4 linked regions of the Cricetulus griseus genome follow. The protein of the gene in region 1 interacts with the protein of each later gene in a pairwise test. Links are inferred from orthologs where the notes say so. Each region holds a gene or a part of one and is shown on either strand. Other genes may lie near its edges.

Region 1 (2,263 bases):
GATCTGCCTGCCTCTACCTCCCGAGTGCTGGGATTAAAGGAGTGCACCACCACCACCTGGCTGACTGTTATCTTTTCAAAGAAGCCACTCCTAGCTGCTCAGGAGTGGCATTATTGCACTCAGCCTTTCAAGCGTTGACGGTGATGGCCTTTTGCCTGGTAGGCTTGATCACAGAGTACTGGGAGCAGGCTCACCAGGAGGGATCTCAGACATAGAACTCCCTGGCCACAATAGTACAGCCACCAGAACAAGTCTCCATGAAAGGTGAAGGGAGACTGCCAGGGACAAGGAAGCAGACACATGGCCCACTGTGGAGTGAGATGCCACCACCTGCCCCATGAGCACCACCTGCTGGAGAGGCACTCCCACTGTAGTGGCATGAATCAGGACTGGTCGCTCTCACTTGTTCAAGTCTCAGACCACAGCTCATTACTGCCCCTTCCCAGAAGACACCTCTCTTCCCACATCTACAGCACCAGCCTAAAGCCGGGTATACCTTCTTGCATTGTAAAGATAGAATTCACCTGCCTTCCCTGAATAAGCCAAGGCCAGAAATGGATGTCCACATCACCGTTTTCTAAAGGAAATCCCCATTACTGAATGTGATCAGCATCCAAAGAGAAATGCCACACAGAGGAGGAGGTGTCCTTGTGGCCAGCAGCCACCAGTGAGCCCAGGTCCTCACACATTAGGGTACCTGCTGGCCCATCTTGCGTGTTAGTATCTATAGTGGATTCTTATTGGGCACCTACTCATTCCGAGTGACACTGCTCATAGCTCCACACAGTCCTACTGAAGCCCCCATCTACCTTAGGATGGGCATGTTGAGGCTCTGGCAGGTTCTACAGCCTATGCAGACAGGAGCCGCCCCACCCCTACCATCTCCACAGTGCCTACCTTTAGCCCAATGACGTTCTGTCCGTTCACCTCACACACGTAGTGGTTAGTGAGAAGCCCGTTACGGGCTGCAGAGCTTCCCTTTACCACAGATACAATCTTCCCCTTCTTGATGAAAAAGCCAACTTGGCCTGAGCTGTCCTTGTGCATAGTGACAGTCCGCTGGAACGGCCTGGTAGAGAGTGACAGTAAGCTGGGCTTGTGGGTGTGGCTGGGGCCAGGCAGGGAGGATGCTGGGACCTGGCTACTGACCTGTCACGAACAATCATGGTGATCTTTTCTGCTGACGCCTTCTTCAATGCTTTGTGAGCTTTGTATGTGCTCCACCCAGCACAGTCACACCCATCAATCTGCAGGATCTGATCCCCAAAGCGCAACCCCACGAGGGATGCAGGAGTGTTGGCCTGGACAAGCTGCACAAAGAGCCCCTGGGAAGCAAGACTCCAGAGTCAGCACCCCTGGCTGCCTGAGCCTAGGCCCCTCCTCTAAGATGTCCCTTTCCCCTTACCCTGTGAGCTTACAGTGTGGTGGGACCTAAGATCTTCTGGGGGACACACAGGTTATGGCTATTTTCCTGGAGGAGGAAACACACCAGACGACCCAGCATATGCCAAATCAGGATTTCAGCATCACAATCAATTCTCCCGTACCACCCTTCCCAAAGGCATCTGGCTGACTTTCTCTACAGTCATCAGGAAGCCAGGTCCATGGGAGTTGGGGTACTGGAAACGGGGCTCTGAGTAAAAGGAGCCTTGTATGGGACTGAAAGAGGATCCCTGCTGCAACTAGGCATACCTTGAGGCCTCAGGTATTAAGGTGCCTGCATGGAACCTTCCTTACTGTGGACAGAGGCTCTCTGAGACCTGGGAGGGGAGGCCCCTATACACTACGCCATCTCAGACTGCCAGGAAACTGCCCCCAAAGGGGAGCTTATATCCCTGGGACTGTGACAAGTGCTACTTAGCACCAGAGGGGCACACTGTCCCCCAGGGGCTCCTCCACAGATCTTTACCTTATCGACAGCCTGCAGGCGCAGTCCAGTCTTGCCACGCTCATCCTTGCACAGATGGATCTCACGCACCCCAGGCTTGATCTCTGCACGCAACACACCCAGGTTGTTCCCAGAGACTGGTGCTACCACGTGGCCAGGCCCAGGGCTAGTGACCACCATCTGCAGACACAGTAGTGGGGGGGGGGTCAGCCAGGCACCTGGGGCCCATGCCTCAAGGGCCTCTGGGTTCTAGGGAGGGATAAGTAAGAGGGTGGAACAGTCCCTGAGGTCACACACACACACACACACACACACACACACACACACACACACACACACACACACACACACACACACTTTGCAGAGGCTGAGAGG
Region 2 (3,576 bases), on another chromosome or scaffold:
CCTCCGTGCTTGTGATCCACTTACACAGAGAGAGAGAGAGAAATACAGAAAATGAAAAAAATACTAAAGCATTACTCCAATGTTACTTGATGCTCTCAAAGTTAGGACTACAAGTAATTTCATGTTATTATATACACAATTTATCAAAAAGTATGATTTACATAATAGTTTGGCTAGCCTTGTCAAACTATACAGGTGAGTAGCTGCCATAAAAAGACAATGATATTTAAAAACAACCAAGTTTATTTAGATTTGGGACTCTGGGTGGTTTTGTCTCTACTACCTGACTTCTTCCTGCCATGACTCCTGGACCTTGATGAGCTCTGGCTCCGGCTCCGGCTCCGACTCTGACTCCGACTTCGGCTCCCGCTTTGGCTTCGGGTCCGACTGCGGCTGCGGCTTCGGCTCCGGCTCCGGCTGCGGCTCCTGCGGCACCGGCTCCGGCTCCTGCGGTTCCTCCGGCTCTGATTCCAGGGGCATGGACTGTGATCCCTTCTTCTTCCTCTGGTCAGTGAACTGCGCCTCTCACGACTTTTCGTCACGTGTTTGTGAGACTTCTTCCCCCTGTGATTACTCCTGCTCTTCCTGTCAGACTCACCGTTTCTCTTGTAGGAGAGGTCTGGACTCAGGCTCCTTCGTCTTCTTGACCTGCCATAGTATATATCATCATAGTGGCTGGTCCTTTCCCTCCTCTCAAAATTCTTACCGAAGGACGAACTAGTCCAATCTGGAGACTGGTAGATGTCTCTGTTGGCTTCCCTAAATTCGTTGTTGGGATTTCTGAACACGTGAAGAAAGTTGCAATGTTTTCCTCTTGGACACTGCTGTACTTCAAATAATCCTGTGAGGGCAAGTGAAGAGGCAGTGATTATCAGCGTGCATTACTGTAATTCATTCTTTTTCAGAAGGTGAATTTCTGAAGTCAGGGTATGTCTGCACTGTTTCTTACAGTGTATGATGTAGATAAACTGAGGTGGTGCCTAAGATTGCAAGAACACTCGAATACTAAAAGGTACCATAAAAAAGGCTGCAAACTAGCTTTAATTAATCAGAACACCTGTGCCTTGTGTCAGCAGAGTGCAAGTGAACTGATTCAAGAACTGGATTTTGGAATCCCTATATTCACATTTTTCTGAAAGCATAGGTTGGTCAGGAGAAGGTCCAACATGGGAGGGGATTCTGCAATGTTCTATACATAATAAGAACATTAATACCCAGGTATGATGGCACACTTATGTCCACAGCCTGGGGTACATGAGGTCCTGTCTCTAAACACACACACACAAAAGAGAGAGAAAACAAGAAAGAAAGAAATCCTTTGTGGCTAAAGGTAAATAAAGTAAAATGATGAGATAGCATTTGCAGATGACCTCTGTGATCAGGTACTGGTATATAAAATCAAGAATTTCTATAGCTGAATAAAAACAAGATGTAACATGATTAAAAATGGGCAACTATCTAAATAGAGATCTCTCCAAAGAAGATACACCAGATGTCAATAATAAGGACACAAAAAAGTTATTAGTTCCTGAGAAAGATCCTAAAAGCTATTTATATTTTTTGTCATTGATGTTGTTGTTGTTGCTTTTAGTAACATTCCTTGTTTGGCGGTTTCAAAATTGTATTCAAACCTATCACTGAAATCACAGAGTGCATCTTGAGGAACTACCAAAACTATAAGCCTAAAGAGAATACCCTGTCATCTTGCTCATCTGCCCAACCCTTAAACTTAGGGCATAATGTTGGTTCTCATTTTCAAGGAATTCTAAAATTCTCTCTCTCTCTCTCTCTCTCTCTCTCTCTCTCTCTCCTCCTCTCTCCCTCTGTGTGTTGTGTGTGTGTGTGGTGTGTGTGTGTGTGTGTGTGTGTGTCTGTAGACCAGGGTGACCTTGAACTCAAAAAGATCTGCCTGCCTCTGCCTCCCAGGTGCTGGGATTAAAGGCGAGCACCACCACTGTCCAGCTTTTTTTATTTATTTTAAAACTTTTTAAGGTTTATTTAATTTATGTATATGAGTGTTTTGTCTGCATTTATGTATGTGCACCATGTACATGCCTGGTGCCCATGAAGATCAGAAGAGGGTATCAGAATCCCTGAAACAGGAGTTACAGTCAGTGATGAGCCAACATGTAGGTGTTGAGAACTGAACCTGGGTCCTCTATAAGAACAAGTGCTCTTAACCACTGAGCCATCTCTCTAACTCCTCCTTTTTGATAATTGTTACATTAATTAATCAATTAATTAGTTTATTTATTTCAAACCCAAGCTGGCCTTGAACTCACAATCCTTGTGTCTTGACCTACCCCCAATTTTGGAACCAAAGGTGTCATCATACATGCCCATCATAAATGTTTTGTTTTTAATGACAGTATACATTAACAGAAGACTGCTAAAGATTTAGACTTGCTTGATAAAAAGCACCTGAGAAGGAAGAGCAGCGAAAACAAGAAGGCAGAAGCACACACACCCCTGAGGCATTAGAGCTTCATGTCTCTTCACCTGGGGAACTTCCATACTGATTTGGCTAAGCACACTTTTAGAAATCAGAAAATGATGAGGCCATCAAAGCGGCTGGTTACTCTCTGCAGTGCTGAATCATTTCCTGGTTTGGCTGCCGATCTCGGATGAGTCAGTATAACTGAGAGCACCCAATGTGCAACTTAACTCATTCACACCTACCAAACGGTCTCAAATGCACAAGAGCATGACTTCAAGCAATGTGGGCAATGTTAGCCACCAGTAATGTTTGTGGCGTTGATGATGGAAGATTCCTTAGGGATCAAGACTGAAGCAAACAGCTCAAGTGAGGAGAACCAACGAAAACACCTTTGAAACTGCAACACGGATCATGTAGGTATCTTTAGTTTAGACACTGCATTGTCACACACAGAACCCAGGTCTGAGGATCTGAAGACTCAAATTCAAGATGCAATCCTGTTACCAATGTATAGTGACCTCAGTCATTCATCCATATAGTGACCCACAGGCCTGTGCAGATCTAAACTGTGGTGTCCTTTACATAACCACTCTGCTCATCTGTAGTATGAGACAAAAACTGTACTTCATCCCTTTAAAATACTGCTTTCTTCCTATGAAGATTCCCTTGTATAGTGCAGCAGTGGGGGAGGGGTGCCACTACATTGGCTTTTACCACAAATTGCCATTTTCCACCGGGTCACTGGGCAGAATTCGCACTGAAGCTGTCGTCCTGCATACCATCGTCCATTAAAAAGAGAAAAAGCTGCTTGACAGTCTTCTTCCCTTGGAAGCAAAAATCAAAGGTTGTGCTTTTAACTCTCACAGGTAGAGCAAATCTATTCTGAATTAACCCTCTTGTCCATTTACTGTAGGACTACCAAGTCCAGTTCTTGAATTGCCTAGGAAGTCTTCGGAGTATTCAGGTTCCCACAGGCTAGTTTATTCAAAGACCTTGTCATGAACCCTCTGAAAGGTTCTGTCATAGGGAAATTGGCTGGAGTCAAAGCTTCTTAATCTGCAAGATTGGACCACTAAATCTGCAGAGGTGTGTTTCCCCTTGTTAGAACCCATGCTTTCTCAGCTAGGACTCCTATTGTT
Region 3 (2,313 bases), on another chromosome or scaffold:
GCAGCATCTGTTCTGTATCCATCTTGCTTTCACCCCAAGGATGAGTGAATAGTGACACTGCCAAAGGGGTAATTCTTGCTGAAGGCTTAAGGGATTTGTGGGCAAAACACCAGCTCTCAGTAGGTGGTGGTGCAGGGCTCCACCAGGACACACAGTGCCAGCACTGGAGCAGGCGCTGCCGAGAGCATGAGAAGCAGATGGGCTTTCTTATGCTTACAGCCACCCCCACAGGCTACACTTCTCAATGTGTTCCTGACAAGAAGGCTGCATGGGCTAATCTGTTAGACATGTCTCCTCTATAGATTGTCACCTGTGGCTAAACAAGGATCATCACTCCTAAAATCCCAGTCACCACCACTTAGAAATTCACACTGCAGCTCTATCAGGCAGCATCTCTGGTTGGAGGCACACAGAGGGATGTGACTAACCAACACCTCCCCACCTCACCAAATGGGGAAACCCATCTTCACTTGGCATCACATTACATTCTAAAGTTTCCTGCAGTGTTTTCTTTAAGTACATGATTTTTTTTACTATTGATATAGAATTCGACAAGAATATATTTTATTTTTTTCATAAACGTTTTAACAAAAATATATTTTTTCCTTAACTTAAAAATAGTTTCAGAAAGCAAAAATTCGGGTTGTTATAATTCATTACACATTTTACAAACAGTACAGGGAAGCAGTCAAAAGTGTGTGAAGTGACGGTGCATTCACTTCAGAAGCTTGACTCTGTCCTTCAGCACCTTAAAGGTGGGGTTCTTGCTAATTTTCTTGTTGAAGATGGCCAGGAGCTCCTCCTCTGACATGTGATGGTCGCTTGTCACTGCGTGGTACTGAGCTATAACCTTTGCAAAGAGAGACAGATGTCAGATATGGAGGCCTGTTGTAGATGTGCTTGGCAAATCTACCTGTCTAGGCTTCTTTGGGGTTGAAGTACACGGAAAAAGGTGCAGATGTGGGTCCACATTACAAAATAAAAGAAGCCCAGAAGCTGGTCACACAAGCATGTACTGCTTGTGAAGACCCAGCAGCTGCCCATGTGTACACAACTGCACGTCACACACAGCTACAGAATTTTTTTAAAAAAGGCGTGTGTGTGTGTGTGTGTGTGTGTGTGTGTGTGTGTGTGTGTGTGTGTGTGTGTGTGTGTGTGTGTGTGTGTGTGTGTCAGGTGAGATGGCTCAATGGAAGGGACTTGCCGTGCAAGCCTGATGACTTAGTTCAATCCCTAGGGCTCAAATGGTGGAAGGAGAAAACACTCCTTCAAGTTGTACTCTGACCTCCACATTTATGCACACACTCTCATAAGTAAATAGATGCAATAACTGGAAAAAGCACCAGCAACCATTTAATATCAGCAAAAGAGAGCAAAGTATCTAGAAAAATTACTTCTGGTCATTTCCAGTACAGTCAACTGTAGACAGTACATGCAATCTTCAGATAGGTCCAGAGTCAGAGAGCTACCCTAGCTTGGCTGCAGGAGAGTGGGCTTGTTCCAGTTGCACATGTGAACAGCTCTTGACGTCTGTCAGTCTGTCTGTCTGTCTGTCTGAGTGTTTCAGGTTAAACAACACACATACACATTTAGAAACAACCCCTTTCCAGGTGTTCCATGCCTTATTTTGTTGCAAGACGTACCTTTTTCTTTAACTTTTTGATGGATATCTCATTGTCTGGAGCCTGTTTCAGAACGGCTTTAATGGTCCCCTTCCAGTTGAATTTACCTACAACGCAAGGAATGATGAATAAGGCCTTTTGTCTTGCCACCAAAGGGCAAAGAAAAAAATGTCTTCACAGTTGTGTGCTTCCTGGGAAATAACATGACTCTCCCATGAACAAGACCCCAAGTCATTCGCTAGCCCAGTAGCAGAGGCTTCCAGAGACCAACTGTCTTTCAGAAAGCAATGTACCCAGTATGGAGGGATGGTCCTCACAAGCAGCATGATAGGGACAACCTCTGGGGAGAAAGAATCAAAAGACGCACTGAACTAGGCATCCACATACATCCTGTAGTATAGAAGATGCAGCTGAGTTCAGCCTGCTCCTGCTTTTTCTGCTAGGCCAAACTCTAACTGAATGCCAGACTCAGCAAACCTAAAACACGCAAAGGTGGTGACTGGCAGTGTCTCAGGGCCTACCATGGGACAGGCTCTTCTGCTCCACAGTCTAGATTTGGAGCCAAGAAAGCCAGTGACTGAGAAGGCCACCAGGTACAAGCCAGCCTAGCCCACATCTCAGATTCAGCAAATGAGCAAAGAAAAGGAAGGCCTGTCCACCACCAACACTGACAGCACAACCAATAGCTCTT
Region 4 (3,576 bases), on another chromosome or scaffold:
TGGGGACAGTGTGGCAGAAGACGGATGGTATGAATGAATGCAGGTAGCAGTCACTGAAAAACGCACCGAGCTAAACTGACATGGCCTCCTTCAGCCAGTAGACAGTGCACAGGGGAGGAGACAGAAATGGCAGACTTCTCATACCTTTGCAGCCACACTTCTTGCAGGTAGTGTTCAGGACAGCCTCAAGGGTGATCTTCTGCCCAGTGTAATCCTGGAAGGAGCGCCTCCGCCTCTCTTCTTGCCTGTAATGAAAGAGATCCTGACCACTGGAGCTTCTCAGAGAAGTGGTCAGATATATTACAACATAATGCTGCTTGTTGGTTTTCTGTTTTGCTTTTGGCAAGGAAGAGAGGGAGAAAAGAAAAGCATTGGGCAGAAAGAGACAGTGAAATAGCTCCTTCTTTTTTTTGTTTTTTTCCATGTTTACAATAAGCTTTATTTTTGGAGACAGGGTTTCTCTGTATAGCCTGGCTCTCCTGGAACTCACTCTGTAGACCAGGCTGACCTCATGGAGATCCACCTGCCTCTGACTGGGATTAAAGGTGTTCGCCACCACTGCCTGGCCCAGAATGGGGCTTTGAATGAACAATTATGAATGATATTAGGTCTCCTCTCAATAATATACAGAAAAAATATTTGAAAGTTTAATTGGCAGGTGGTGGTGCAGCTTTACAGGCTTTCTAAAAATCAAGTCCAAGTTCCTTATAAGACCTTGGTGTTGGGGCTTTCAGTTTGTCTCAAACATACTTCTCCAGTTTCCTCTTTATTTTACTTAGGCCCTGGCCAACAAGTCAGTTCTCCTTTTCCCAGTGGTTCAGTGCCTTTCCGTAGGCAGATGCCACTTTGAAATGCCCTGCCCTCCCTTACTCTACCTCAACAATGCATTACCCAAACACCGCAAGGTTCTTTTCTTCAAGTCTTCTTCTCTAAGTCCCTAGGCCATAAGAGATTTTTCTATTCCTGTTACACTCTTTTCTTTTCTTTCTTTTTTTTTTTTTTTTTTTTTTTGGTTTTTTAGACCGGGTTTCTCTGTGTCTTTGGAGGCTGTCCTGGAACTAGGTCTTGTAGACCAGGCTGGTCTCAAACTCACAGAGATCTGCCTGCCTCCGCCTCCCGAGTGCTGGGATTAAAGGCGTGCGCCACCACCGCCCAGCTCCTGTTACACTCTTAATGAGCATAATAAGCTCCTGTATAAAAGACTCACATGGAAGCCACTTAGAGCAAGTATGAGCCCACTTAGTTTTCAGTCTGCACTTTCCCATGTAACCAGTACCAGGATGGATAACAACACAACCAACCTCTCTTAAAACAGACATGTCAGCCAGGCAGTGGTGGCGCACGCCTTTAATCCCAGCACTCGGGAGGCAGAGGCAGGTAGGATGTTGGTGAGTTTGAGGCCAGAATGGTCTACAGAGTGAGTTCCAGGACAGCCAGGGCTACACAGAGAAACCCTGTATCCAAAAACAACAAAAACCAATCATCTCATGCTTACTGCTAGTCATCAAGCTTACTCCCAGAGTAACTGCTATTTTTTTCTTCTAACAACACAAAACCACTTTTCTCTTTACAGTAGCTGGCAGTGATGGTACACATCTATAATCCTAGGACTGGGGAGCCTGAGGAGTTTCAAGAGTTCAAGACTAGCCTGAGCAATTTAGCAAAGCTATGTCTCAAAATAAAAGTAGTAGAGTACCTGAGATGTTAACACACTTTTAAGAACAAATGTCTAGCATACAAAAAGCCCTGGTTTCAAAGATATACCCCAACACACGATATTTCCTGTATAGTTCTATTGTCCGTGAAACATATCCACATTGTTGTCTATAGTTATGAATCATTTATTCTCATTGGTGTATGGTATTATTGTGCTGTTGACAAAGACAGTCTTGACTTTACAGAGATCCACCTGCCTCTGCTGGAACTGAAGGCATGTGGCTGCGTGATTAATGAATTAAGATATTAAACTCATGGGGTTGAAGCACTTTTGTGGGTTAAGAGCACTTGTTGCTCTTCCGAAGGGTTGGGGTTTAATTCCCAGCACCAAAATAGTGGCTTATAATCATCTGTACTCTAATTCCAGGGGAACCAACACCCTCTCCTGAACTCTGAGGGCACCAGACACAAGTGGTATGCAAACATACATGCAAGTAAAATACCTATACAGATTTTTAAAAAAAGATATTAAATTCCACTTACTTATTTCTACTGTTTGGGATACTGAAGGCTGAACCTAGGGCTTCATCCACACTAGGCAAGCACTGGATTGTAAGCTTCATCCCCAGCCTCTGTTTACTTTTTGTTTTGAAATAGGAGTCTTGCTAAGCTGCCTGGACTAGCTAGGGCTACGAGTCTGCACCATCAGACCCAGTGCTTAAATTTTACTTAATTTTCATGAATTTACATTTGAATAACCCCATGTTATTTGTGGCTACCTAGGTGGACAGTACAGATAAGCATATAATTTAAGTTCTGAAAATGTTTGCACAAATGTCTGGCCTTTGCCCTAGAAGAATCTAAATGCATAAAGAGTCAACTATCTGGTGTGGGTTATAGAAATGGGCCCCTTCAAAACATAATAAAGTCTGAATAACAAAAACCAAGACAGGCACTGGGAACATAGAGCAAGTTTTCAGGTGTCCTGATTTGAAGAGCAGAGTTCTAAGAGGCCCTGAGCCACAGCTTAAACACGTCCTCGTTAAAATCAATCTCAACACTCTAGGGTTCTAACACACCACATGGCCAGCCAGACCTCCCACACAAGGGTCTCACCTTCAGATCCCTCTCTGCCCTCACTGCTATGTGTAGGTCAGGCTTCATCACAGGTCACATAGAGCGGTGGTTCTCAACCTGTGGGTCACAGCCCCTGTGAAAGGTTGTCTGTCTTTTTTTCATCCAATTCACTCAATTCAATTATTAAGTGGTATGTGCCAGTGTTAGTACTGACAGGAGCAATGAGCCAAGGGCATATGCCTAGGATGTTCTAGGCCTGAGGTTCAATGTCCAGAACTATCATAAAATGCTGGTCACAGTAAGGAAAAGATATCAATGAGGGCCTGAAGAGACAGATTTGACTGGTCACCTCTCCCACTCACAGGACACCCTGATATGCTGTTGCTCTCCTGCCTGTGCCTTTCCTAAGTCATTTCACTTCCCAAAGCACCATTCCTTCTGCTTCTTGAAAATGCCATATCCATTTCTTTTTTGTTTGTTTTTTTGAGAAAGGGTTTCTCTGTGTATCTTTGGCTGTCCTGGAACATGCTCTGGAGACCAGGCTGACCTCAACCTCACAGAGATCCGCCTGCCTCTGCCTCTTGAGTGCTGGGATTAAAGATGTGAGCCATCATGCCCGGCCCATATCCATTCCTAAGACCTAGGTCAAATGTCACCTTCTCGCTGAACATCAAGACCTGAAATAAACTCCTCCTCCTCAAGCTACCAAATGAATGCTCTGATGAAAATAACACTAGCTATGAGATGTAGTGCCAGCCTTTAATCCCAGCACTTGGGAGGCTGAGGCAGGTGGAATTCTGAGTTCCAGGCCAGCCTGGGCTACATAGAGAAACTCTGTTTCGA

What was found.
Region 2: the proteins of Sdcbp2 (region 1) and Zrsr2 interact in binary tests that used the Homo sapiens proteins (3 or more experiments, as listed by UniProt). The two-hybrid records come from large-scale screens. The link is inferred for Cricetulus griseus from reciprocal best matches to the Homo sapiens genes SDCBP2 and ZRSR2.
Region 3: the proteins of Sdcbp2 (region 1) and Lyar interact in binary tests that used the Homo sapiens proteins (3 or more experiments, as listed by UniProt). The two-hybrid records come from large-scale screens. The link is inferred for Cricetulus griseus from reciprocal best matches to the Homo sapiens genes SDCBP2 and LYAR.
Region 4: the proteins of Sdcbp2 (region 1) and Zcchc17 interact in binary tests that used the Homo sapiens proteins (3 or more experiments, as listed by UniProt). The two-hybrid records come from large-scale screens. The link is inferred for Cricetulus griseus from reciprocal best matches to the Homo sapiens genes SDCBP2 and ZCCHC17.

The regions. Positions count from the first base shown.
Region 1 is NC_048599.1:28,455,640-28,457,902, forward strand, and holds part of Sdcbp2 (syntenin-2), read right to left. Parts: intron 2,069-2,263; coding exon 1,910-2,068; intron 1,326-1,909; coding exon 1,150-1,325; intron 1,070-1,149; coding exon 898-1,069; intron 1-897.
Region 2 is NC_048604.1:98,761,310-98,764,885, forward strand, and holds part of Zrsr2 (U2 small nuclear ribonucleoprotein auxiliary factor 35 kDa subunit-related protein 2), read right to left. Parts: intron 3,262-3,576; coding exon 3,152-3,261; intron 842-3,151; coding exon 243-841; 3' UTR 1-242. UniProt on the Homo sapiens protein: Pre-mRNA-binding protein required for splicing of both U2- and U12-type introns. Selectively interacts with the 3'-splice site of U2- and U12-type pre-mRNAs and promotes different steps in U2 and U12 intron splicing.
Region 3 is NW_023276807.1:107,185,705-107,188,017, reverse strand, and holds the end of Lyar (cell growth-regulating nucleolar protein), read right to left. Parts: intron 1,730-2,313; coding exon 1,644-1,729; intron 851-1,643; coding exon 716-850; 3' UTR 543-715; downstream 1-542. UniProt on the Homo sapiens protein: Plays a role in the maintenance of the appropriate processing of 47S/45S pre-rRNA to 32S/30S pre-rRNAs and their subsequent processing to produce 18S and 28S rRNAs. Also acts at the level of transcription regulation.
Region 4 is NC_048595.1:22,723,819-22,727,394, reverse strand, and holds part of Zcchc17 (nucleolar protein of 40 kDa), read right to left. Parts: intron 246-3,576; coding exon 145-245; intron 1-144.